7 linked regions of the Rattus norvegicus genome follow. The protein of the gene in region 7 interacts with the protein of the main gene of each other region in a pairwise test. Links are inferred from orthologs where the notes say so. Each region holds a gene or a part of one and is shown on either strand. Other genes may lie near its edges.

Evidence for each region.
Region 1: the proteins of Cwf19l2 (region 7) and Calcoco1 interact in binary tests that used the Homo sapiens proteins (3 or more experiments, as listed by UniProt). The two-hybrid records come from large-scale screens. The link is inferred for Rattus norvegicus from reciprocal best matches to the Homo sapiens genes CWF19L2 and CALCOCO1.
Region 2: the proteins of Cwf19l2 (region 7) and Sf3b4 interact in binary tests that used the Homo sapiens proteins (3 or more experiments, as listed by UniProt). The two-hybrid records come from large-scale screens. The link is inferred for Rattus norvegicus from reciprocal best matches to the Homo sapiens genes CWF19L2 and SF3B4.
Region 3: the proteins of Cwf19l2 (region 7) and Rint1 interact in binary tests that used the Homo sapiens proteins (3 or more experiments, as listed by UniProt). The two-hybrid records come from large-scale screens. The link is inferred for Rattus norvegicus from reciprocal best matches to the Homo sapiens genes CWF19L2 and RINT1.
Region 4: the proteins of Cwf19l2 (region 7) and Mtus2 interact in binary tests that used the Homo sapiens proteins (3 or more experiments, as listed by UniProt). The two-hybrid records come from large-scale screens. The link is inferred for Rattus norvegicus from reciprocal best matches to the Homo sapiens genes CWF19L2 and MTUS2.
Region 5: the proteins of Cwf19l2 (region 7) and Mad1l1 interact in binary tests that used the Homo sapiens proteins (3 or more experiments, as listed by UniProt). The two-hybrid records come from large-scale screens. The link is inferred for Rattus norvegicus from reciprocal best matches to the Homo sapiens genes CWF19L2 and MAD1L1.
Region 6: the proteins of Cwf19l2 (region 7) and Cep70 interact in binary tests that used the Homo sapiens proteins (3 or more experiments, as listed by UniProt). The link is inferred for Rattus norvegicus from reciprocal best matches to the Homo sapiens genes CWF19L2 and CEP70.

Annotation. Positions count from the first base shown.
Region 1 is NC_086025.1:135,725,129-135,729,199, forward strand, and holds the start of Calcoco1 (calcium-binding and coiled-coil domain-containing protein 1), read right to left. Parts: upstream 2,801-4,071; 5' UTR 2,737-2,800; exon of another isoform or gene 2,579-2,736; intron 371-2,578; 5' UTR 347-370; coding exon 191-346; intron 1-190. UniProt on the Homo sapiens protein: Functions as a coactivator for aryl hydrocarbon and nuclear receptors (NR). Recruited to promoters through its contact with the N-terminal basic helix-loop-helix-Per-Arnt-Sim (PAS) domain of transcription factors or coactivators, such as NCOA2.
Region 2 is NC_086020.1:186,420,191-186,424,466, reverse strand, and holds the start of Sf3b4 (splicing factor 3B subunit 4), read right to left. Parts: upstream 2,801-4,276; 5' UTR 2,564-2,800; coding exon 2,530-2,563; intron 2,153-2,529; coding exon 2,024-2,152; intron 1,580-2,023; coding exon 1,037-1,579; intron 812-1,036; coding exon 605-811; intron 1-604. Other genes in the region: Mtmr11 (myotubularin-related protein 11), read right to left, coding at 3,921-4,067. UniProt on the Homo sapiens protein: Component of the 17S U2 SnRNP complex of the spliceosome, a large ribonucleoprotein complex that removes introns from transcribed pre-mRNAs.
Region 3 is NC_086022.1:12,227,618-12,231,117, forward strand, and holds part of Rint1 (RAD50-interacting protein 1), read right to left. Parts: intron 571-3,500; coding exon 460-570; intron 374-459; coding exon 148-373; intron 1-147. UniProt on the Homo sapiens protein: Involved in regulation of membrane traffic between the Golgi and the endoplasmic reticulum (ER); the function is proposed to depend on its association in the NRZ complex which is believed to play a role in SNARE assembly at the ER.
Region 4 is NC_086030.1:11,744,859-11,747,503, forward strand, and holds part of Mtus2 (microtubule-associated tumor suppressor candidate 2), read right to left. Parts: intron 2,345-2,645; coding exon 2,247-2,344; intron 627-2,246; coding exon 413-626; 3' UTR 1-412. UniProt on the Homo sapiens protein: Binds microtubules. Together with MAPRE1 may target the microtubule depolymerase KIF2C to the plus-end of microtubules. May regulate the dynamics of microtubules at their growing distal tip.
Region 5 is NC_086030.1:19,441,282-19,444,781, reverse strand, and holds part of Mad1l1 (mitotic spindle assembly checkpoint protein MAD1), read right to left. Parts: intron 2,262-3,500; coding exon of another isoform or gene 2,252-2,261; coding exon 2,102-2,251; intron 232-2,101; coding exon 91-231; intron 1-90. UniProt on the Homo sapiens protein: Component of the spindle-assembly checkpoint that prevents the onset of anaphase until all chromosomes are properly aligned at the metaphase plate.
Region 6 is NC_086026.1:108,717,207-108,720,706, reverse strand, and holds part of Cep70 (centrosomal protein of 70 kDa), read right to left. Parts: exon of another isoform or gene 3,224-3,500; intron 3,115-3,223; exon of another isoform or gene 2,344-3,114; coding exon of another isoform or gene 2,287-2,343; exon of another isoform or gene 2,000-2,286; intron 1,038-1,999; coding exon 953-1,037; intron 864-952; coding exon 775-863; intron 1-774.
Region 7 is NC_086024.1:6,099,779-6,103,940, forward strand, and holds the start of Cwf19l2 (CWF19-like protein 2), read right to left. Parts: upstream 2,801-4,162; coding exon 2,708-2,800; intron 1-2,707.

The sequences.
Region 1 (4,071 bases), on a different chromosome or scaffold from region 7:
GAGGCTGGAGGGCGGTATACTATCAGGAGAGAGAGGGGCAAAGATAGAGAGGTGAACTCTGTACCATACGGACGGCAGCCCCGTGTCATCTTTCTCCCTATCGACCTGAGAATCTAAGGACCTCGTCCCTCCTCATATTTTAACCAACCTGTGTCCCGTAAGTTTGAACCAGAAGAGGGTCTAGGGATACCTTAAAAATGCCAATCCAGTCGCTGGCGCTGGGCGTGGTGCCCGGAGGCAGAGTGTAGTGACATTCCACCTTGGTGTTGGGGACGTAGGTCCGGGCCACGTTCAGGAAGCTGACTCCACCCCGGGATGGTGCCCGGCTTAGTGATGATTCTTCCATCGTGTCCTCAAGATGCCGGATGCCCTAGGAAAGAAAGGGTTGATAGACTTAAGTCTTTCCACTGCTTCCTTCCCTTGGCCCGAGTGCACCTACTCATGGTCCCTGTCACTACACAGGTTCCCAGACCCTAAGGTTGTGGGAATTTTTAATTCCTGGGGCGTAGGTGTCGCCTTTCGAGTCAACTTCCTACCCTGTCGGGGTTGTACCCTCTTTGGTTTACGGGCCCCTCCCTCGCTTGTGTAATTTCTAATCCTTTTCATTGCCCCACTGACCCAGTATCTCGGTCTCTGCCCATCTCTGTCTCTCCCTTTCATCTCTCAACATCCTTGGGAATCCCAGATTCTCTCAGTTTCCCCATGCGATCCCCTCTACCCTCTGGCTCTAGAACTCAAAATCCAATGGAAGTGTGGGCCTCTCAGTTTGAGCAGGCCTCCCTTACACATGCCTAAGCTTGCTGAACCTACTCTACCCGGGTAAGAGTTCCAAAACAATAACTCATCACTGGTGATGATGATGATGAGTCTCCAGAGGGGGGATATGGTTTGGGGGCCAACAAGCTAATCCCGGCTGCTCTGCTCTCGCTGCACCTATGTGTGAATTGTTTATCCCAGTTAACCCTAGGGAAGCAGAAGGAGGCACACTCTGGCTTTCCTCCAAGAACTAGAGAAGGAGAGAGAGGATAATAGGATAGACAGGTTCTGTCCCTCAGCTTCTATTCCAGGAAATCAAAAATTGTGGAGGTGGTAGTTCAAGGGTGGAGTGAAATATTCCGCAGGAAGGTGGTGGTGTGGAGAGATGGAATGTGGGGGCTTGGAGCCAGGAAAGCCCCACCCTTAGGCAGGGAACAGGTTGGAAACAGGGTAAGAGGCCCTGAGAAGGGGAAATGTGCATCAGTGTTGAGAAAAGGCAGAGAGTTCAACAAGGAACATTTTTTCCCCCACATCTTGCCAGGAGCAGAGCTAGAAACCTAGTGATCTGTTTGAGTGCTAAGCCAGCCCTATTAACCTGTCTCCATTCTTGTTGGCTCCCCTTAGCCTCAATTCTAAGGGTCCAAATCCTGCCCTATGCTTGGGTTAGTGGCAGAAGATACAGAGATAAAATGGAGTTAGCTAGGGAGAATTAATTGGAAAATAGATAATAATAATAATAATAATAATAATAATAATAATAACAACAACAACAATCAAGAGTTCTGGGGGGTTGGATATCTGGGGGGATAAAAGGTGCCTGCCACCAACTCACATGGTGGGAGGAGAAAACTGACTTCCCCAAGTTGTGCTCTGACTTCTGTACACCTACCTACCTTGTGCGCACCCACACACAGAAATTAAAAAAAATAATCAAAACAGTACTACTCAGAGATGAATAAGAACAAAGTATGATGTACATGTTTGAGATGTCATAATGAAACTCACTGTATATTAACTCAAAAAAAAAAAAAATACACTTCAATCCAGAGCCGAGAGGCAGCCCTCTTCCCTCTAGCCCACACATCTGCTTCCTGTGTCAGCTGCAGCAGCCGATGTGTCCAATCAGCCATCACCACTCGACATATGCACGCCCCCAAACATCACAAACCCACACCAGGCTGAGGCAGTGGGGGAGGAACTTTAAAAGAAATTAGACACTCCGTGGAGATGGAAAGATGGGCCAGCAATGCAATAGGAAACAATTTCTCCGTCGAAAAGAGACTGGACTGGAGCTATTATTTCAATGTATTATTTCTATCTCTGAAAAATCCCCCATTACAGCTACTCCGTGTTTTCTTCAAATATAACTCTCCTTAGGGTAGAGTGAGATCTGTCTCCAAAGTTCTAACGTTGAGAACCCCGAACCTCTCCTTCCCCACAAAGAAAATCCGTAACAGCTGCAGACATTCTCCAGAACTGAAAGACCTGGGCACCTAAAGTGTATGTGGTCAGATGCTGATGTTCAAATGTTCTCTGTGTGTGTGTGTGAGAGAGAGAGTGTGTGTGTCCTCTTCACTGTAGGGCCCTCAGTGTTTTAGCGTTCCACAAGTTGGAAGTTTCCCCCTCAGGGATTCAGCGTAGTAAAGGCCTTCGGATCTTTGGTTTTGGGTGAGAGAGAGAAGGTCTGTGAGGGCAAAGACTTGCCTGGAGAAGATTAAGCAAATATTTCAGTCCCTTCAAGCTTCCATAAACGGATCGAGCTTTACAAGAAAGTGAGGACAACGCGGGCTACCCCCAGAAGGCCCCCTTGAAACCAACAAACCCGAAACGTGAAGGAGGCTTCCTCAGCGCGTAAAGTATTAAAACCTAAACGCTCCTACCGTCCTCTTCTACAGTTCTCTCGGATTAGCCTTTCGCAGGCTGAGCAGAGGGCTGACCATCCCCGCGTAAGCCCACCCTCAGTTAGGCCAAGTTTCTTACCCCACAGACGGATCAGCTGTTCCCCTCACCTTTCACCAACAACAAAAACAGCACTCCGACTACTGGAGGGGAGGGGAAGAGTGACGCCAGACCTTCTGGGGCCTGTGGTTTTTCTGTAATCCGACGCCGCTCAATTTTCTGCCTCTAGAACTACACCTCCCAGGAGGCTGTGCAAGAGGGGCGGGAAAGAGGGCGGGGGCGGTGGTGGACTCAGCGTCGCATCCCGGGAGTTGTAGTTCTCACTTCCTTGGCAGTCCAGGAGGGTGTGGCTTCCAAAGGACTTCACGGCCCATGATTCCTCAAGAAAGGGCATGCTGATTTAGTGGTGGCTGCTGGTTCGTAGCATGCTTAGTGGGAGAGTTGATGGCTTTAACGCGTTCTGCACAGCTCTTTTCGGTGGGGCGGAACGCTTCCAGCACAGCCTTCTTGTTCGCCTTTACAAGATAGGTCGTAGTGTTATCTCTACTTACAAAAGAAGAAACTTGCTTAAGGAACCCTCTAGTGTCAGGGCTATGAAACTGTAAAACTCTGCCAGGCCTGTTCCAAGCTATGAGCTACAGTCACCATGTTGTGGGTTGGGAAACTCTCAGTGGTGGTAGTGGTTACTTATTTTTAGCTTGCTCCGACTTCAGGGTTGACAGATCTTGTAAAAAAAGTCTCAGAGCTTACTGTTTGGTTCCAGCTTGAGAAGATTTCCATGCCAAGGAATCCGATAACACACACACACACACACACACACACACACACACACACACACACATTGTTGCAAGTGCTCCCACTGGAGTGTTTTCTGCGGCTAGGATTAGGGTACATTGCTTGAAGTGGTGGCCTGGCTGTGGAATGAGAAGCATGTGGTTGAAAAGAAAGCTTGGCAGGACCTGCCACAGCTCACAACAAGCTACTTAGAGACGTTTATTTGCCCAAGCCTTTTAACTGGCTTAAATTAATTAACAACTTGTATTGTTGCTATAGGGTTTTTTTTGTTGTTGTTTTTTTTTTTTTTAATAGGTGAAAGATTCACACTGTTCCCACATCCCAAGTCACTTAAGGACTTGGATGGTCCTCATCGTTGTTGGTGGCCTCCAACCGTGGAAGAGTTCATAGTTCTTTTCCCTGTCTCTATATTAATGGATTAAGTGAGATACAGTGCCACACACCTGTAATTCTAGCAATTGAAAATTCAGAGGCTGGGGGCTCCTGGAGATTTCAATTCGGACTCAGGTTACACAGGAGACCCTGTCTCACAAATAAATAATTACATTGGAAAGATGGCTGTCCTCTTCCTGGCTACGTCCATTCTAATTATCTGCTGCAGTAGGCTCTGGCACCCCTTTC
Region 2 (4,276 bases), on a different chromosome or scaffold from region 7:
AGAGTTGTGGACTGGGCTCCTACAAGTGAGAGCCATTGAAGATGGTGTTGGAAAGAGAAAAGTAAACTGTGGGTTGAGCAGCAGCCTTTTCTAGTCTACCAAGAACCTCAGAACAGAGACCCAGAATAAATCATAACCTTCACATTTAACACTACAGATAAACACAGAAAAGAGAACCAAGCACGAAATCTACACATACATAAAAAAGGAATTGATCCAGGTTGCTAAAGTTGACATTAGAAAATCTAAAAATACATATGCCTTTAATCCCAGCACTTGGGAGGCAGAGGCAGGAGGATCCCTGAGTTTAAGGGTAACCTGGTCTACAGGGGGAGTTCCAGAACAGCAAGGTTTACACAGAGAAACCCTGTCTCGAAAAACCAAAAGCAGAAATGTCTTCTAGATTTGGCAACCTTGGAAGCAGAGGAGAGGTTGAGAGCTTTTGCCAAGCACAAGCTATAGGTGGAGATAACACAGGAGCACACCAACATGTACAAAGTATTGTTTGTTTTCTGAAGAAAAGGACTCTGGACTATTTCCACCCAAGACAAAGAGCACTGGGAGAAGCAGTACAAAGGCCCCTCTACAAGCTCAGCGCACTTACCTGGATGGGGCATCCCACCTGGTGGGAATGGATGAGGATGTGAATGTCCATGACCAGGATGTCCAGCCCCTGGAGTTCCTGCTGCTGGGGGACCATGTCCTCCAGCCCCAGGTGGCATAGGTGGTGGGGGCATTGCTGGGGGTATCCCAGGAGGAAGGGCCCCAGGAGGTGGCACTGGAGGTGGGAACGAACCAGGAGGTGGCATTCCTGTTTAAGAAATGAAGGACAATTAGTGGTATCGGACAGAATGTCTTTCCCAGCATGCTACACTCCAGCTTCCTAAGGACATGCACCAACTTCTTCCCTCCCACCAGCATCCTCACTCCTCCCTCACTGCCCACTGACTTCACAGCTTACTCTTCCAGGGCTTCCTCTGCCCCCTGACCTCCCTCCCATGGGCCTCACTGGCATAGTCTGAACTACAAGCTGTACCTGGTGGAGGAAGCCCAGAACCCAGGGATGAAACCACAGGATTGGGGGCAGAGGGTGGAGGGGGTGCATCGGCAAACAGCTGATGAGGGCGGTCAGCCTGAGACAGCGGGTTCTGGGCTGCCAGAAGTCGTTCAGCTGCTGAGCCATGTCGTTCACCCTTAGAGTCCTTCTTGAAGGCATAAGACACAGTGATAGGGCGGTTACACAGGTACTGCCCATTCATGGCCTCAATTGCTGCATCTGAAGCATCAAATGAAGCAAAATTAATGAAGGCGTAACCCTTGGAGTTGCCTGTGTCAGGGTCCCGCATAATCTTGGGGGTCTGTAAGATGACTCCAAAGGCGCTAAAAGTATCGTAAAGCAACTTCTCATCAATTTCTGGGTCCAGATTTCCAATGAAAATGTTGGCTCCTACATCCAGGTTTTTGTTGTGAGCCGAGGCTTTGTTCACCCGTATTGGCTTCCCATAGAGTTTGATCATGTTCATAATCTTAATGGCATAGTCAGCATCTTCCTCACTCAAGAATTCAACAAAGCCATAGCCTAGGAAACCAATGAAAAAAGACCACTCAGGTGAAGAGATTCAAAATCAAACATTAACTCACCAGTTTGCAAACACAAAGAACAAAGCAGGTAAGGGCTGGGTGGGGGCTCATGCTTCTAATGCCACCATGCTGGAGCAGAGGTGGAGCCCTGAGTTTGAGGCCAGCCTGGTCTACAGAGCATGTTCCAGGACAGCCAAGGACTACACAGAGAACCACTGTCTTGAAAATAAAACAATAAAAAGAACATGACAGAAGAATAATCTTACTTCACTTGAGAATGGTTCCAGTAACTAGTGCTAAGAGAAACTATTCCAAAAACTGAACTGAAGCTTAAGGGGGAAAAGAACCTTTAGGTTGCTCATTCCAAAGTAGTTGTGACTGGAGTTGTGACTCTTCAGGGGCCGTTAACGCTATACAGGGTTAATTCTCGACATGTACTCACCTTGGTGCTGGCCAGTGACTCTATCCTTTGGCATGTGGGTGTTGACCACTGGCCCTGCCTGGAGAAAGAGCTCCCATAGCAGTGGCTCGCTCACTTTCTCGTCTAGACCTCCCACGTACACCGTGGCATCTAAAGGGAAGAAGCAGGAGGTAAGGAGAGGGTCAAGAGTGAAAAGTAAAATAAAAACCAAAAACGTTAACTAAAGACCCGAAATTCCCTCAGCTTCCACAGTCTAGAAAAATCCGCTACGTCTAATTTGGCATTCTTGCTGATCCTGTATTTCCGGAGAATTTTGTCTTCTTGGTAGAGGAGTATTTAAAGAGAATGGATCTAGAAGCATCACTCTTCATAGGCCTGGGCCTCCACTTGGCCTCGAGGCGAGCCAGGCGCCCAGAGGTCGGTCTCACATCAGAGGGATCTCGTCTCCCACCCAAGCAGAAATGCTTCTGGCATTAATCAGCTCTTCACTTCCCTGCCCCTATCTTGGTCTCTTTTCTCCCAATTACCCTGATTCCGTTCGGAGATCGGTCCGGCAGCCATGGCGAAAGGGCTCCCGCCGTCTCTAAGCAGCAGCACCGCCCCCCTGACCTCAGTTTCTACTTCCACTTCCGGGCCAAGGCTCACATTGGGCGGGGCCGGCGACAAGGGAGGAGCCGGAAGCGATCGCGGCCATCTTAGGAGTCAGATTCGTGTCGGACAGAAGGGAAAGGTGCTCTGGAGCTGCCGCAGCAATCGGGGTGGAACAGAAGTGAATCAGCCGGTCTTGATACAGTTAACTAAAGCCCTGAATGCTTCCAGACTGTTAGGGCATCACACTGCACCCCAAGCGCAAATTGAAATGCTAAACCAAGCTTTGTATGTTCTGTGACGCAGAGACGTGTGCTAGGCAAAGTCCCGCCATATCCAGGGCCAGGACTGCCTTTGAAAACAGCCTATTTTTAATTCGGTCCACAACGCTCGTGCAGATTCGCCCTCGGCCTAGGCTTGAGCTCGAGGTATTTTGGTTTCCCGTAAGTGTCAGAGCTCCTCCAATCTTGGGAAATTTGAGACCGAGGGTGCTCACAGGCAGGTATTGAAGCTTTAAGAGGCAGGTGTGGATCTCTGAGCTAAAGGCTAGCCAGGTCTACAGAACGAGATCCAGGACAGCCATGGCCTCACAGAAAAATCTGTCTCGGAAAAAAAAAAAAAAAAATTCCAGGCTAGCCTGATATACAGAGAGACCTTGTCTCAAAAAAGGTGTGTGTGCGTATGTGTGTGTGGGGCGGGGGGGCTTTCCCAATATTTCATGTGCATTCTGCCCAGCCCTGCCAATCCTTTATTTCCTTACAATAATAAGTGTCCTTTTCTCAGTTCACACTACCCCACAACCACCACCGCTTTGCTGAGATCTTCATTCAATACAAGAAAATACCAGCAATGTGTAGAAATACTGTGCTTTAATGAACTCCTTAAATAGAAATGCTGCTACAAAAATATACAGTGGGAGGAGGAGGTGTCTCCCTTATTCACCTCATTCCCACAGAAGACTAAGAAAAGATTTCAATGTAGTGTTGAGGGGTTGAGAATGAGGTCTCTAGGACACCTTGCTGGGGCTGATGAAAAGGGTCTCTGATATCATACTTTTGACAACCATCCAAATGGCACAGAATTGCCTCGAAAAAAGGCAATCATTCTGAATTGGTTTTGTTTCTTATTTTTCAAATCACAAGAAACAAAAATAGCTCCAGGAACCAAACGAGACAGGAGAGCTGGAGGTTGGTAGCACCATCTACAGAAACTGGCCTACTAAGTGAGCTTTACAGACTGGAATACCAAACCCGAAGCACCAAGGTCAGACATAAACATCAGCAGAAACAAACCCCCGCCCTCTGCCCTGCCTTTGAGATGGCTAGCAGTTTCAGCAGATCTGAGAAAGGATAGTATTTGGATCTCTTTTCTTGCTGTGGTCCTCCGGAGATATTCTTGGTGTCCATTTTCTTAATAGTTCCTGAAGATGAGACAGCTCATCTTGAAGGCCAGAGATTGTGAGAGCTGAAGAGCCTATCTGGGGAGAGGCAAAGGAAGGTGCAAAGAGAGATTGTCACAGGTCTAGTTCCTTTTTCTTTTTTCTTTTTCTTTTTTTCTCAGGTTTGTCTGTTTTTATTTTCAAGACTGGGGTTTCTCTGTGTAGCCCTGGCTATCCTAGAACTAACTCTGTAGACCAGGCTGGTCTCAAACTCAGAGACCCAGTTGCTCCTGCCTCTTGAGAGCTAG
Region 3 (3,500 bases), on a different chromosome or scaffold from region 7:
CACACCCTTGATCCTAGCATTTGAGAGGCAAAGGCAGGTGGATCTCAATGAGTCTGAGGCCAACTTGGGCCAAAACAGAAAGCAAGCAAGCAAACAACAAAACAAACCAAAAGCCTCAAGTCAGCTCAACGGTCACTGAGTGCTTACACTTTCTCTCCACAGTCAGCCATCTCTGGAAACAGGTTTCCTCCGACAGAATGTGCATGCAGCTGGCAAATGTGCTAGGATAGCCATGGACACTGTGCAGCTCCCTTTCAAACAACAGCACCTCGTCTACCAGATGACAGAAGAGACTATCGTCATAGAGCAGGCAAGGGATATCAGACGCCAGCTTCTCAAGGATGAGCATCACGAGGCCGCGAGAAAACTCAAGCTGAAAGAGAGGCAAGGAGGCATGAGGGAGGGACTGTGCCCAGGGGGCCTCCAGGAAGCCGGAGTGCACGGGGCTCAGCCTCTTACCCTTGCGTTCACTGCAGAACCCACTTTATCCAGTATTGGCTGGATCTTCTCATCCAGAAAGTGAGAATGGCTTCCAATCCACAGAAGTACCTGAGCGAAGTACCATTCAGGCTAAGAGGAAGGGAAAATGGGGTTAGTTCTGCATTCACTCTACGATGACGGGAAAGTCTAATTAAATGCACACAGTTATGGACAGACATAAAAATTAACTGAAAACTCCTATATGTAAGAAAGCAATTCTTACCCTGCACTTCAAACTCACAAAAGACTTCATAATCAAATGTTTCCCAGTATACTTCCACAACAAATGCTAATAATGTGGCCTAACTCAGTAAACTCGTAATTTAAAATGCCACATTGGGGTTAGGTGTGGTTTTGAAGTATAACGTTTGCCTGGCTATAAAAAGCCTTGTTTGAATCCCAGCATCACAGAAAAGAGGAAGAGAAGGCTTAAGAACAATACTGAGGAAAAGTCCCTCACACACGCAAGAAGGAGCATCTGGGGGGCTGGGGATTTAGCTCAGTGGTAGAGGCTTGCCTAGGAAGTGAAAGGCCCTGGGTTCGGTCCCCAGCTCCGAAAAAAAGAGCCAAAAAAAAAAAAAAAGAGGAGCATCTGCCCAGCACACGCCCTCATCCCAGAGCAAGATAAAACAAGCCACACCAGCAGGATGGCCCCGGGGTAAAGGCGCCTGCCAGCAAACCTGCCAACCTGAGCTTGATCCCTGGAACCAACGTGGGGGAGGGAGAGCGCTAACTCCCACAGATGTTGCTCTGACCTACACACAAACTTTGTAAAGCCCTCTAAGCCTAGCGTGATGAGGTATTACTAACAACTGATATTTCTGAAATAGCATTCCAAAAAGAAGGTTCTGAGATAGATCTCACGTAGCCCAAGCTAGCCTCAAAAATCTCTATGTTACTGAGGGTGACGGGCTTCAGGTCTTGTCACCTCTACTTTCCCAGTGCCAGGATTTCACACATGACATCAATATGCGCATCACACGTGACGTATGTGGTACTGGGGACCAACATGGGGCTTCACGTGAGCGGGACAAACGCTCTGTTGAGACTGACCTGCTTCCCCAAACACTTTTTTTTTCTTTTCTTTTTTTGTTTGGAGCTGAGGACTGAACCCAGGGCCTTGTGCTTGCTAGGCAAGTGCTCTACACTGAGCTAAATCCCCAACTCCTCCCCACCCCCAACTACTTTTTAAACAAGACTTTCTGCTGCTTCCTCTTTCCAAAAGGTAAAGTAAGGAAAAGAGTCTAGTGGCCTAATTACTAATACATCTACGCTGTAAACTGGGTGTGATGTACAAAGGAAACAGGCAGAGCATTTCAAAGTATTACACTTTTCTCTGTGCATATATGCATGCTAGAATGGATGTGTCTGGGTGGGTGGACAAGTGTCACTGTGGCAATCAGATGACACCTTTGGGAGTTACTTTTCTCTTGTGACCACATGGGTCCTAGGGATCACACTCAAACTTGGAGGTGGTTTCCCCCACTGGGCCATGTCACTCACTCACCCCACATAAAGATTTTACTTTGTCTTTAGAGAGGATTCTGCACACATATAAGTTTTTCTAGACAACAACTTAAAACTCAGTGAACATGAACAGATGAACCGATGAGCTCCAGGTTCAGTAGAGACTTTGTCTCAAAATAAGGGAGAGAGTGACTGAAAAGGGTATCTGGCATTGACCTCTGGGTACACACACACATACACACGTGCATACACACGCACACCAGACACACCACACATACCACACACACACAAACACACCACACTTACATATACACACATAACACACACATATACATACACACCACACACATACAACACACACATATATACACACACATATACACACATACCACATACAACACACATACACAAACACATACCACACACACATATACACACAACACATACACACATACATACCATACACACCACACACACCACACACACAAAACACACACAACATATACACACACATTCACAACACACACAACACACACACATATACAGACACACATACCACACACATGTGCATGTGTGTTTCCTGTTTTTTATAGCTAGGGCTCTAACTAAGGGATAGAGCACTTGCCTTGAACAGGCAAGCCCTGGCTTCAGTCCCTAGCACTGACTGGCAAATCCCCAAGTGTTTTCAGTTGGGGATAAACAAGGGTGGCAGCATCTAATCCCAAGGACTGTCTCAGTGACAGTATACTAAATTCATTAGGATCACTCTTTCAAAATGAGCCAATCCAATCCAGAATTTTCTTACATTTTCTAAATGTTTAGTTTATGCTCTGTCTCATTGACTACTGAGGACTAAATGACTGTGCAGTCCCAACAACAGTCTAAACAAAACAGAAGACCCACTGCCACTAAGTTCACTCATATGACCTGAAAAATATCTGCTGTGGTCTTGCTCTTAATTCAGAACACTTGGTGAGCCCAGCTCCATACACTGCCTCGGCTGCAGCAACCATCAAGAACAAAGTGCTCTCTCAGATCAAGTGTTGGTAACGACTTCCTTTAACTGACTTATTCCGTCACTCCTTGCCATGGTATATGTCCTCCGTAGCTGAGTCACCATGGCACCTGTGCTCTCTCCTGTGGAACTCACTTCTTTCTTTCTGTTTATCTATGTGCAGGAGCGGTCTGTGCAGTGAGGTCCAGGTGGCTGTAAAGCCTGCACACACGAACACAACGTGATGACGTCCCAAAGACGGCACAGATACTGGCAACCTGTCAACCTGAGCCCCAGTCACGCCTACAGAGTGCAGCGAGGAGGCAGGAACCGACAGAGAAGGGAAAACAGAAACGTGAAGACAGACAGGCCTTGAGGCTAATCATGTAAAAGTCCACAGGCAACACTCACTACTAATGAACACTCAGGGTAGGATGGACACTGTGGGACCCCAGCCCTTGGGAGGCAGATGCAGAGGGAGCGGAGTCTGACTCAGCCGGGGCTCTCCTCAGACCCTGTCTCACAAACATAACCACGGAGGAGAGAGTGAAGCACACTC
Region 4 (2,645 bases), on a different chromosome or scaffold from region 7:
AAAAAAAAGCAATTCGGAGTCGCCGCAGGTGTGTACCCACGCATCTGAATACACACCCGCAGCGGTGCAAGGAGGGTTTTCGAGTATTCGAAAAACGGAGCTGTTTGTGGCTGACCTAAAGTTCCGCTGCGGAACTCCGTCTCTCAGGAACAATTGGAGCTGTTTCTCTTTTGCTTCTAACTATACTAAAGCATTTTGTTTTTGTTTTTGTGTTTTGCTTTTGGACACCAGACTCTGCTGCTTACGCCTTCCTAAGCGCCAATACCAGGACGGTCTCACACGAGGGTCAGAGAGGACTCTGCCTAAGATGCAGTATGCAGCTACTGAGCATGCGCACAGGGCAGCCACCAGCACCGGCCAGCACTCCCTCGGACGGACAGAAGCTTGAGCTCCTGTGGGTGGCAGGGTGATGTCATCTAGGTGTGGTACTGACTCTGGCTGGAGAGGAGGGTCCAGAGGAGGAGCCCCTGTACACCGGAGATGTGGGGGAGAGTTTAATCGGGCTGGTCGGGTCCCCAGTCTGGAGCTTCCAAAGTAGTTCCTCGTTGGTTCGGCTCAGTCTCTTCTTTTCCTGGGTCTCTTTCTCCACGTATTCCTGGAGATTAGCATTTTCCTCCGACAGTTGTCTGCGTGGGGGAGAATGGTAGTTAGCAGCGGGAACCATTGGGCGTACTAGTGACAGAGGCTGATAGGCGGAGGCCGGGGGCAATTCCCCAGGCTCGCAGGTCTCTCTGCTGGGTTAGGGGGCAGTTGTGCACAGAGCAAAGAAAGGCTAGAGGCTGGAGTAGGAAGTGGGGGAGATGGTAGGTCACGTGGGCTGCTGCTACAGCCCATAGGAGGGGTTGCTATGGAGATTGTCTACGGCTGTGGTCAGGGTACTGACTAACAGCGCCAATCAGCCGGGAATATTTTCCCGTTACCTCCAGCCCTGAGTACGTGCCTCTGCGATTGAAGTCATTAGCTCGGCTGTAGAGTCGGTCTGTCTACATGTCTGTCTGCTGGACCACAAGTCCTAGAGGGCAGGGGTCAAGACTCTGTTATGTTCTTGGCTGGCGTTCAGCATGGCATCCAGAAAAATAGATGTTTGATCACCGTCGGTTGATAACGGGGGTCGGGGGTGGGGGAGAGAAAGCAATCGTGTGTGTGTGTGTGTGTGTGTGTGTGTGTGTGTGTGTGTGTGTGTGTGATGTCATGGTGCTTAAATTGCTGGCTTTGCTGCGTGTTTTTGGTAATTTTTGTACTTTATGTGTGTGTTTTGGCTGCGTGCATGCCCGAGAACCATTGCATGCAATGCCTGTGGAGGCCAGAAGAGGGCGCGGGTCTCCTGGAACTGTTAACTCTAACAGATAGCTGTGTGCTGTCAGGTAGGTGCGGGGAATCAAACTTGGGTCTTCTGGAAGAGCAGCCAGTGCTCTTAACCACGGAGTCACCTGTCTATTTCAACTTGTGTTTTAGAGAGTGATCGCTGCTTTCAGGAATCGGCCAGAGTAAGTACAAATACATTTTACAACTGGATGGGCTAAAGTCCCAGAAAGGTACTCTGGGCTGACGCCTGCACTTGCTGTCTGAGGAAAGGTGGCTGGGTATGTGTGGGCGTGTGAACAAGTGGCATGCCAGTGTATAAGCATGCACGTGCATCAGTGTATGTGTAAGTGTGAGCACGCGTGAATGGATATATACATGAGTGTGTGCACATAAGCATGGGTGTACACAGGATAACATATCATAGCCACACCGAGGAGTCTGGTCCAACAGAATGGGAAAAGGCGAAGGCCTCCATCTCACTCGGGCGACTTAGCCTTGCCCAGTATAATAACCTGCAGCCAGCCACAGACGCCACAGACGTTTTCACTGCACTCTGAGCTGGGGTCAAGAGTGACCCAATCCTTCCTTGAAAGCAGGAGCCTATAGGGAAGAGCTGACCCGATTTTCTGGAATATTGGGGTTACCTAGCCATGGTTCTCTTTAGCTGGGGACTTTAGCTGATGCTCTTCTCCTAATCTCTGGGATGAAATCTTCCTGCTCTGGGGCCCCTGCTTCCTGGGCTTGAGGTCCTCACTCACTTCTGGGGAACGGGGCCGGCTGGGATGCAGAGCTGGGATGTGTACCATGGGGTCACGGCCATCTGCTTTTCTTCTGATCAACTGAGAGGCACCAGGAGATTGTTCAGACTGGATACTGGGACATGCGGATGTTCCGGGAAAGCCACTTTGAGAAGGACGTAGTGAGAAACTGGGCTCACCCACCTGGTAACAACCGTGTTCTGGTCGATCCTCGCTTTGAGGTCTTCGTTCTGCTGCTGGAGTACCTGGATCTTTTCTTCCAGGATGATGTTCTTTTCCACCTAGGAAAGAGACACCAGTGAAGAAACTCCCACTGGATCAGTGGCCTTGGCTTCTGCACTTTGGAGGGTTTCCAGGAACAGGACTTTGCTAACCGCTCTGTGCAAAGCTTTTGTGGGCGGGAAAATCAGGGGAGATGGATGAGGGACCAGCACTGCTCTTTTCAGAAAGACAGAACAGAAAATGCCAGAGTGTGCTCTGTTGGTAGTAAAAAGCACTGTGGTACATAGTTTAGACTCTCTCTCTCTCTCTCTCTCTCTCTCTCTCTCTCTCTCTGTGTGTGTGAGAGAGAGAGAGAGAGAG
Region 5 (3,500 bases), on a different chromosome or scaffold from region 7:
AATGCCTCTGACCACAGCAGCTGGGCCCCAGTTTGGTGTCTGACAAGTGCTGCACACAGCCCTTGGCCTTCTGGGGCTGGCTGGACCCACCTCATAGTTCCTGGCATTGGTGCTGGCCGCTCTCTCCAGCTCCACCCGAGCCCTCTTGTGGCTCAGCTCCATCTGCATCTTCTCCCGCTCCACCTGGATGAGGTAGGACTTTGAACGGATCTGCTCTGCTCTCTCCTCCAGCTGAGCAGTTGGTACCCAAAGAGAAAAGAGAGGGTTCAGTTCCCATGTCAAATAAGGCAAATAAGAACCCACAAAGAGGATCACAGTTCCAGACCAGCCTAGGACAGAGTAAGTTCAAGGCCAACCTGAACAATTTAATGAAATCTGTATCAAAATAAAAAGTAAGGCTGGTCCTGGAGATGCACTAGAGGGATGGAGGGTCTGCCGCATGTAGCCAAGGTCCCAGGGATGGAGGCCGGCCTCCTGTGTGGAAGGAGGGAGAGAAGGAGGGATGGATTTTTGGTTTTTCAAGAGCAAGTATTTTTTAAAAACAAAGTACCCATCTTCTTATTTCACTAGTACTCAGACACAATTACCATCTATTGATAGTTCACTTCAGAAAATAGTGGCTTCAAGCCAAGGATGTAGGAGCTGGAGAGGTGATTCAATAGTAAAGGCACTCACTGTTATTAGAGAAGACCCAAAAATGACAGAAATTCACACATGCATGCAGGAGCACTAACTCACATAAAGTAAAAGAAATTTAAAAAATGTTTTCAAATAAAATAAAGGCAAAGATGCACCTCAATGGTAGATGATTGTGTAGTGTGTGCAAAACCCGGGTTCAATACCCAGTGCTACCAAGAAGGACTGGGAGGAAGACGGATGATTTAACCACAAAGGACAGTTATAAAAGACTCACAGGATGAAAGACAACGCTTGCCACCAAAACAAGCTGAGGGCAGGCGGTGCTGGGACGAACAGTCAGCAAACCAATGTTGCAAGCACTGTCCAGTCTGCTGGGCGGTGCATGAGCATCCCCAGGACTCCAGAACAAATGCTCCCAACTCATCACAGAACAGCTGCAGCCAGAGCGGAAGGGGGACAGGAAAGAGGTGAGCAAAGAAGCCTGGGAGCAGCCTGGTGTGGTCATTGTGTGCTGAGGACCAGGCAAGGCAGGAACATCACTCTCCTAGGGCCCAGAAGCCTTAACCCAACTGGAGCTATGGCTGCCACTTCTGGAGCCTGAAGCCCTTCATTCAGGAGCCCTGGCCCCTTTGGAACTGTATCCCTAGGAGCATTCCTGGGAATTAGAACAGAGTGAACTAGGACTACAAATCACAGTAAACTTCTGCCTGGCCTCTATGGGTATGGTGGCACCCACCTTTTATGTCAACACTCAGGAAACAGAGGCAGGCAGATCTTGGTAAGTTTGAGGCCAGCCAGGTCTACAGAGTGAGTTCCAGGACAGCAGGGCTACATATCTCAATAGGTAGGTAGGTAGGTAGGTAGGTAGGCAGGTAGGCAGGCAGGCAGGCAGGCAGGCAGGCAGGCAGGCAGGCAGGCAGGCAGGCAGGCAGGCAGGCAGGCAGACAGACAGACAGACAGACAGAGACAGAGGGATGGATGGATGGATAGATAGATAGATAGATAGATAGATAGATAGATAGATACAGAGGGATAGATAGATAGATAGATAGATAGATAGATAGATACAGAGGGACGGATGGATGGATGGATGGATGGATAGATAGATAGATAGATAGATAGATAGATAGATAGATAGATAGATAGATAGATAGATACAGAGGGACGGATGGATGGATGGATGGATGGATAGATAGATAGATAGATAGATAGATAGATAGATAGATAGATAGATAAACTGAATAAATGAATCACACTGTTGGTATAGTCCATGTCTCCCAAGTGTGAGAACCTGAGTTCTGTTTCCACAGAGACAACTAAGGCAGCCTCTAACCAGCATGGTCAAGATAGGCCCTGGTCTCCAGCTACTGCTCAGGTTGATAAATGCCTACAAGTGTCTGCAGGTCACTCATCTAGCCTCCAAGCTGATTTGGCCCACCCAGAGACCCAGAGGGCTGCTCACCTGCATGTTCTGTTCATACTGCTTCTGTAGGGACCCTGAGGCAGATGTGGACACATCCAAGCCTGATGCTCCCTCCATTCGCTGAGAAATGAAGTTGTTGAGAGATCTCAGGGTGGACAGGACTGTGGTGTTCTCCCCAAGGTCTTCCATGGTCACCCTCCTAGGAGACAAAGCAAAGGTCAGAGACAGTCTTCCCATGTGCTGTCTGTCTGCTGGCACAGTCTGTTCCCCTAAGACCCTTATGGAGTAAACTAGCATGTTTTCAACATTAACATGAAGCCAACACTGCCAACATTGTAGAGAGGAAATGAGGCGCAAAGCATGCCACACCATATACCTATGATATCAGTAGGTAGAGGCAGGAGGATCAGAAGTTCAAGGCCAGCCTCAAATTTATGAGTGTGAGGCTAGCTTGAGCAACTTGACATCCTGCTTGAAAAGAAGGGAGGGGCATAACACAGACCTCAATCCCAGCACTCAGAGGCAGGAGGAGCTCTGAGCATTCAAGGCCAGCCTGGTCTACACCGTACACAGAAAGCTCCAGGACAGCCAGGGCTGCACACAGAGACCCCATCTCCAACAGTGGTGAGGAGTTAAAGGGGGGCGTGATGCTTAGAATGTTTACCACTCTCTCAGTTCCCAGTATCCACACCAGGCTAATAACTGCCTGCCATTCCTGTTCCAGGGCATCCAGTGCCCTCTTCTGGCCTCTGTAAGCACTGAACTCATACACAGACATGCACGCAATCAGAAATAAAAACAAATTTAAAAGCAGGGGGTAAACTTGATGAAGCCTGATGACTGAGCTTCTCCCATGGAGCACACAGTGGTGCTGCCCTTCACTCACACCATGTGCCTACAACAGAAAGGCTTGGGGTGGAGGGGCGGTTCAGCGGTTAACAGCACTGACTGCTCTTCCAGAGGTCCTAAGTTCAAATCCCAGCAACCATGGTGGCTCACAACCGTCTGTAATGGGATCTGATGCCCTCTTCTGGTGTGTCTGAAGATAGCGACAGTGTAGCCATATAAATAAATCTTTTTTTTTAAAAAAAGGCTTAAGTTTGAATCTCAGAAACCTGGACATGGTGGCAAGTGTCTCTAATGGCAGCACTTCTACTGCAAACTGCGAGATGAAGGCAAAAGAATCTTCTAGAGCTCACAGGCCACAGAGCCTTGCACACACTGCACTGAGCAAGAAATTGTGTCTCCAACAAAATGGAAGACAAGAATCAACAGTTTTCCTGACTTGCATGGTACAGAGACAGATACACAGACACAGACAGACACACAGACACACATGGGGGGGGAGGGGGACGACAGAGACAGAGAAACAGAAAGACAGAGACAGAGACAGAGAGAAAAAGAGAAAGAGATTGAAAATGTTCATACCACTAATCCA
Region 6 (3,500 bases), on a different chromosome or scaffold from region 7:
GACTGGCCAGCCAATGAGCTCCAGGAATCTGCCAGTCTTTACACCTTCACCCAATGCTGCAGTTACAGATACACACTGCTACAATTTGCCTTTTCACAAGAGTTCTGTATCTGAACTCAAGTTCTCACATGCTTGCACAGCAGTTTTCCAGCCCTCACTATAGCTAATTTAAAAGAAAAACTAAACAAAGACTGAACCTGGGCTTAGAGAGACAGCTACGTCTGGTAAAGTGCTTGGCATGCAAACATGAAGACCTGAGTTCAAACCCAAGAGTCCACTAAGACGCACGAGAGTGCACACTTACAATCCCAGCACTGGGAGGGTGGTGGCAAAGACAGGAGATCCCTAGGGCTCATTGGCAGGGCAGCCTAGACTAATTAGCAAACTCCCAGCAGCCAGCAGTTCTCACGGAGCGATCCTGTCTCATAAAACAAGGTAGACAACTCAGCAGTGCCCCTTGATGCTGACCTCTAGTTTCCACACACAGGAGCACAAATGTGCACACTCAACTGCACACACACTTACACCCACATATAAACACAAACAGAAAACGGAACCCTGAATCTCCTCAAAGTTCTTAGCCAATTTTATCCTCAACATGGATTCCGATTTTCGCATTTCCCTTGCTTGCCGAAGGATTCTTATTCCGTTCACCATTCACCATGAAATACTACTGGTCAACAGGAGCACAGGAGGGTCAGGTACTCACTCAGGTGCAGTTTTAGAGTAAGGGGGAAGGAATGATTGGTCTAACATTCTTATTGTTTTCCTCACCTGTTTTCCAGATCTTTTTGGAGGTTCAGCTTTTCACCCAACAGCACGTCGATCTTGGAATTGGATTTCTCAAGTTGCTTCTGTAACGACTGCAATGTATTTCACAGTAAAATAAGTAACTCTCCTAGGGATTATTTTGCTTTATGAAAAGGTATTTGTCAGTTGCTGGTCTCCATACCGTCAGAAGGCCTTTATAGGTTGGTGAGACGCCCAGGTTTAGATAGTCTTTTCCTTCTGACTGGCTGTCATCCTCCCCACACTGCCTGTGGGAAGACAAACACAGTGCATCTTGTGGAACTCTATCCTTAAAGAGAACTTGCAGCTAGCAAAACTGAAGCCAATTTAGTAAGGGCTGAGTAACTTAAACATGGGAATCCCAAATTCCTACTTGTTGTACAGAGAATAGTACCACATCGCAGCAACTACCTAGTCTTAGAGTAGTCTGTTTACTACTCTTCACTTAGAATGTGTGAGAACCAAAAACTTTGTCATGGGACACAAGGGGGGCATGAAAAATACTTGAATGAACAAGCAAAATACAAATGGAACATTCCCTGGTCTTTTTAAAAACACCCTGTAGAGTGTAAGTGGATACCAATACACAGTACACAGCACACCGCACTTACCCTGTGTCCCAAACCTCTGCGGTTACCGAACATGCCTAAATGTGTTCATTTTCCTGCTGGTATATTCACCTAACTGAAAAATCCTTCATCCCATCCGTCTTTGAGAACTGCCATCTGTGTGCAGAGCCTCCTGCTTCCTTACCGCTCACCACTCTCCCTTTGCCCCCATACACCATCCCTCTGCCTCACAATGACAGTATATACCACTATGCCTTAAGTTTACTTACATAGGCATTAATGTAATCTTCCCACGGGACTATCGCGGCAAGTCTCAAGCCAGCTGGTGATTCACTATGTAGCTTAGGCTGGCTTCAAACTTGTGGCTATCCTCAGTCCTTGGCTATCTCAGCCTACAGAGAGCTCAGATTACAGATGAACTTCCACGCCCAGCTACATGCCTGGATTTTCACTGACATTCTATCTTTAGTATTTAAATGTATATAACTATGTTCTGCTCTGCCCCACAGTCAATGTACTGTATGTGCATATACTTCATGAATGTACTTTTATCCAGTGGATATACCACGATGCTAATACAATATAAGAGGAAATACACTTCTGTTGTTTCATGTAGATACAGTACATTTTAACCTAAACAGTAAAATACTATCTTGCAGACTTTTATTAAAAAGAATTTCAACATGAAGCTATGAGGAAGATGTGGTGAGGAATCCAGAATTTGGGGGGAGGGGGAGAAACAGATGGTAAATATTTTTGAAATACACTGTATACAGATATCGAATTCTCATAGAATAAAAAATAATTATATTTGGAAAAGAACTTTATAATGATATAAAGACTTCCATACCATAAAGTCTCAAAAGCTACAGAAACAATTTATAATAATAAAAATAAATATAAAAAAAATAAAAAATTATATTTATACCTTTGTATATGATGTTTTCTAAGTTTACATTCATAGTAATCAATTAGACAAAGCAATCTAGAAGAAAATATGTTCAATTATTTTCAAAAGGTAGCATTTACTGTACTTTCTAGATAATTTCAAATTACAAAGATAAAAATACAGACTGGGAACAGAGAGATGTCTTAGCAGTTAGGAGAGGGTACAGGTTTGGTTTCTAACTACATAGTGGCTCACATCATCCATGACTCCCGTTCTAAGGGATCCAATGCTTCCCTCTGACTCACAGGTACAGGCTCACACGTGCTACATACACATAGATATAGGCAAAGCACTCATACATGGAAAATTAATTTTAATTTTTTCTTTAAGACTTATTTATGTGTATATGTACAACTTGTGTTAAAGTGCCCGTGGAGGCCAGAAGAAGGCGTTCCATCCCCTGAACCTAGAGTTATAGGAAATTGGGAGCCACCATATGGGTGCTGGGAATAGAACCCACGTTCTCTGCAAGAATAGCAAGTACTCCCAACCTCTGAGCCATCCCGCCAGGCCTAAAAAATAGTTCTCAGCGTACATAGGGTAGTGCAAAACCACCTGTAACTCTAGCCCTGGAGGTTTCCAATGACTCTGGAGACCTGCTCACAAGCACATAAACCTACATACATGAATATACATACACATTACTAAAAATCAAATCTTTGGCAAAGATTGCCTGGAAAACTTAAAATTTTTCAATAATTCTTGCCAGGAACAAGTATTACACTGAGATAGATAGATAGATAGATAGATAGATAGATAGATAGATAGATAGATATCCCTAAATGATATGTTCATACCTAGTTCTACCTAGTCTTTTTTTTTTTGGTTCTTTTTTTCGGAGCTGGGGACCGAACCCAGGGCCTTGTGCTTCCTAGGTAAGCGCTCTACCACTGAGCTAAATCCCCAGCCCCCCTACCTAGTCTTAGAGTGGAGATATATATATATATATGTGTGTGTGTGTGTGTGTGTGTGTATGTGTATTTATCTTCCATTAATATATTATAAGCATGTCTCACTTTATAAATACATATTCTTCCTGTCCTAACATTCCTACCTCTGGCAATCTCCTTCCGTAATAATTGCCTAAAGCTCAGTGGTTAAGGAAACTTGCTTCTCTTACTTGGTACCTGGTTTGATTCCCAGCGCACCATATGAGAACTCGTACATGTCTGGAATTCTAGTCTCAAGGGATC
Region 7 (4,162 bases):
TAGCTCTACCTAAAGACCCAGCTATACCACTCCTGGGAATATATCCAAAAGATGCTCCAACATGGACACATGTTCTACTATGTTCATAGCAGCCATATTTATAATAGCTAGAAACTGAAAACAACCAAGATGTCCCTCAACAGAGGATGGATACAGAAAATTGGGTACCTTACACAATGGAATACTCAGCAATTAAATACAATGACTTCATGAAATTCTTAAGTAAAATGATGGAACTAGAAAATATCATCCCGCGTGAAGAACACAGAACCAAAAGGACATACATGGTATGTACCCACTGATAAGTGGATACTACCCCAAAAACTCAGAATACCCACGATACAACTCACAGATCATAAGCAGCTTAACAAGAAGGAAGGCCATAGTGTGGACGTGTCAAACTCACTTAGAAAGGGGAACAAACTATAGGAAGCAGAGGGAAGGAGGGTCCTGGGTGGGAAAGGGAGGGGGAGGAAAGAAGGAAGGGACAGAGGCAGGATCAGGTATGGGAAGAGACAGGAGAGAAGTCCACAGGTCTAGGAGAAGAAATAGAAAGAAGCAGCAGTGGAGGTGCTTGGAGAACCCCTGGAAAGTCCCTGACACCAGGAATTCGGGAGGTTCCCAGCACCCAATGGGGATGACATTAGCCAAAATACCCAACAGCAGGGAGATAGAACTTGAAGAGACCACCTTCAGTAGATAAACATGGCCCCCATTGGAGGGATGGTGCCACCACCCCCACCCCCAATCTAACAATTTTTAACCCAGAATTGTCCCTATCTGAAGAAAATGAAGGGACAAAAAAAGAGGCTAAAGGAAAGGTCATCCAGAGATCTCCCCATCGCAGACATCAAACCCTATGACACTATTGCTGATGTGATGCCAAAGATGTCTTGAAGACAGGAACCTGGTATGGCTCTCCTCTGAAAGGCTCTGCCAGCACCTGACTACGACAGATGCAGATACTCACAGCTAACCACTGGAGTGAGCCCTGGGGTCCCAGTGGAAGAGTTAGGGGTTAAGGAGCTGAAAGGAATTACAGGAAGTACAACAGTATCAATTAACCAGACCCCTCAGAGCTCCCATGGATTAAACCACCAACTAAAGAGTATACATTGGCCAGTCCACGGCTCCCACTACATATGTAGCAGAGGACTGCCTGATATAGCATCAGTGGGAGGGGAGTCGCTTGGTCCTGTAAAGGTCTGATGCCCCAAAGAAGGGGGATGCTAGAGGGGTGAGGCAGGGGTGAATGGGTGGGAAAAACTCTTAGAGGCAAATAGGAGGGGAAGGGGTGGAAGGGTTCATGGAAGGGAGACTGAGAAGGGAGATAACATTTGAAGTGTAAACAAAATGTTTTTTAAAAAGCTATCAATAGCTTTTCTTTGAGACTATCAATCTTCAGTAAATTCGGGTACAAATCACATACATTATCCAGTCTAAGACTAGCCTATGTCCTTTCTCCCTGCCTCAAATACAACTTGGAGTCACTTTAACCTTCATAGTCCCTGAGGCTAGTTCTTCAGACTTTCGCAAAAGTTCTAAAGCTGACTTTTTTCCATGCCTTCAAAATAGACGATATGTGTACCCCAATACAACTAAGAAAAACATTATCCTCTTAAAAAGAAAAAAATATATAGCTAAATTCTAGTCAGCAGTCAGCAACAGTAATACAGTGCAAGAAGTTTCTTTTGCTTTCTCATCCATCTCTCAAATTCCAAAGCTGACTTTGGCCTTTATCAAACTACATGTAGATTTGTATAAAATTCTTCTCAGCTTACAAAGAGTTTCCTCCAAAAACTGCTTGAAGTATCAGTCATGATGAGCATTCATTATAACTATTTTGAAATCAGCCAATAATCACTATGTTTGATCTGACCAAGACTAACTGCTCACCTATACCCTTAAAATGTGATTGAAGCCATTACTCATTCTTCCTATTTTCTACTCTTTATATGCATTTAAACGTATTTAAAATTCTTTTATCATAAAAAAAAAACATAGTCAAGGAACATTCTGCTGTTCAACTACAAATTCTTTTTCATTGTAACAATCAGGTCAGATAATTCAATAATTTGCTTCTTCCGTTTTTATAAATTCCATACATTTCAATGTTAATGAGAATTGTTCCCAAACTTGGGGGGGGGGCACATATTCAGTCTCTTATGCTAAACAGCGTTTCAATCAGTAAAAGCTGGCCTAAGCCTAAGAGTTGAAAGGAAATGTTTTGGGGAATCACCAATGTATTCAAATATTTCCTACTTCCAATAAGCCGGAGCAATGACTCACACTTCGACTTAATTGGTAAGAGTCCTCAGATGTGACATCGGACACAGAAACTGAGCAATCCAGACGGCAGAAATGTCAAGAATAAGTGGCTTAACAGCTAAGGGAACTAATATCAATCTCTCTGCAGAGAGAAACAATAAATGTAGGCGGTTAGAGCATTTAGGAGACAACTGCATTGGGAAAGAGAGACCAAAATCAGACCAGGTGAAATATCGAAGTGACGAGAGGAGTGGGGAAATAACTTCCAGGATTCTCAAGTACTACAACTTTAAATAACATTCCAAGACCCTAAGATTTAAAAAACGAAAGCATTTCAAGAACTAATATATTCTGGGAAAGCGCCTACCTAGCATTCAGATGCCCTCCTTACAACCCCCAGTTTCAAAAAGAAAGAGAAAATTCTCCAAAGCAGGGGTACCTGGCGTAACACCTCGGCCCTGGCAATACGGGTCTGTTCTTTTCTTTCTTCAATACTGCTAGCACTTTCAAATCTTAAACCGAACGCCGCCATAGTTATTGCTGATGTAAAGCAAGGAAGCTGTCAGGAAAACTGGGTTTACGACTGTCGTATTTAGGAGAAAAAAAAAAAAAACCGGATTTTACGACTGTCGTAATTTAGAAACCGTTTACGACTGTCGTAATTTGGAAAACAAACACGGATTTCAAAATAGTAGTGAAAGGTGCGCTACTATGCCAACAGAGCAGGCGCAGATCTGAATGTTTCTCCTGTAGCTGAAACTTGATAGCCAGTTGGAGAGTTGACCTTTCAGATGTACTGGATTCGCTAAGCCCTGAATTAATATCAACATGCATTATTATGCACCCTGCGCTATACTAACTCATTTCTCACTAGGACTCTTAAAAACACCCCAGTAAACTAGAAGTTATACCTAAACCTCCCCATTCTTGTCTGACTTTACTGTTTTGGAGAGCCAGGCTGAAGTGAGCCTGATCAGAAAGTTAGAACACGGGGAAAAGAAAAAAAAAAAATTGCCCTTAAGATTCAGTAGTTTTCATTGATGGGTGACTTGAGAGATTATTCAGTGACTTAGGGTGCTAACTGTCCTTCCAAAGGACCTAAGGCCGGAACTCACTGGGATCATCAAAAGCATCTCTAGCTCCATTTCCAGGAAATCCATCTCTCTCTTCTGGCCTTCACGGGCACTGCAACTACATGATGCATTTATGTACAGGGAGAAATTATATATATATATATATATATATATATATATAATATTATATGTATAATATTATATAATATTATATTATAATATATATGCTCCATCAGTGTAAATATAACATATATTATATAATTTGTCTGTGTGTGTGTGTGTGTGTGTGTGTGTGTGTATGTGTGTGTGTGTGTTACACATATATTATTTGGAGGTTGAGACTTGGTGTAGCACAAGCCTGGTGAAGGAAGAGTCCTCATCACTCAAAGGAAAGATGCCTTGGTTGTGAGAATATCTGTTGTGAGAATGACCTCTGTTGTATTAATTGAATCTTACATAATTAAGTCTCTATATCAAAATATTAGTCCTAATCTGTGCTTCATTTGTTTGATCCACTAGGATAGTAACAGAAAAAAATTAAATAAGCCATTTCTCTCTTCTTTTGCCCTTGCCAACTCAGCAGAATTAAAAATGACAAACTTCAGTGGTTACAGACCCTTTCCGTCCCCCCAAAAAGTGCTACTCCTTTATTTGATTCATTATGTTTGGGAGGCAGCACTCCAATTTGTGCATCTGAAGCAAGAGTAACAAGCCAATTCAGAGTTGATAGGAAGGGCTGCTGTACCTGCCCACTCAATAACCAAAGGCACTCAAAAGGGCTTGCCATGAAATATTGTTAGCCATTCTGCTAGTTTTCAAAA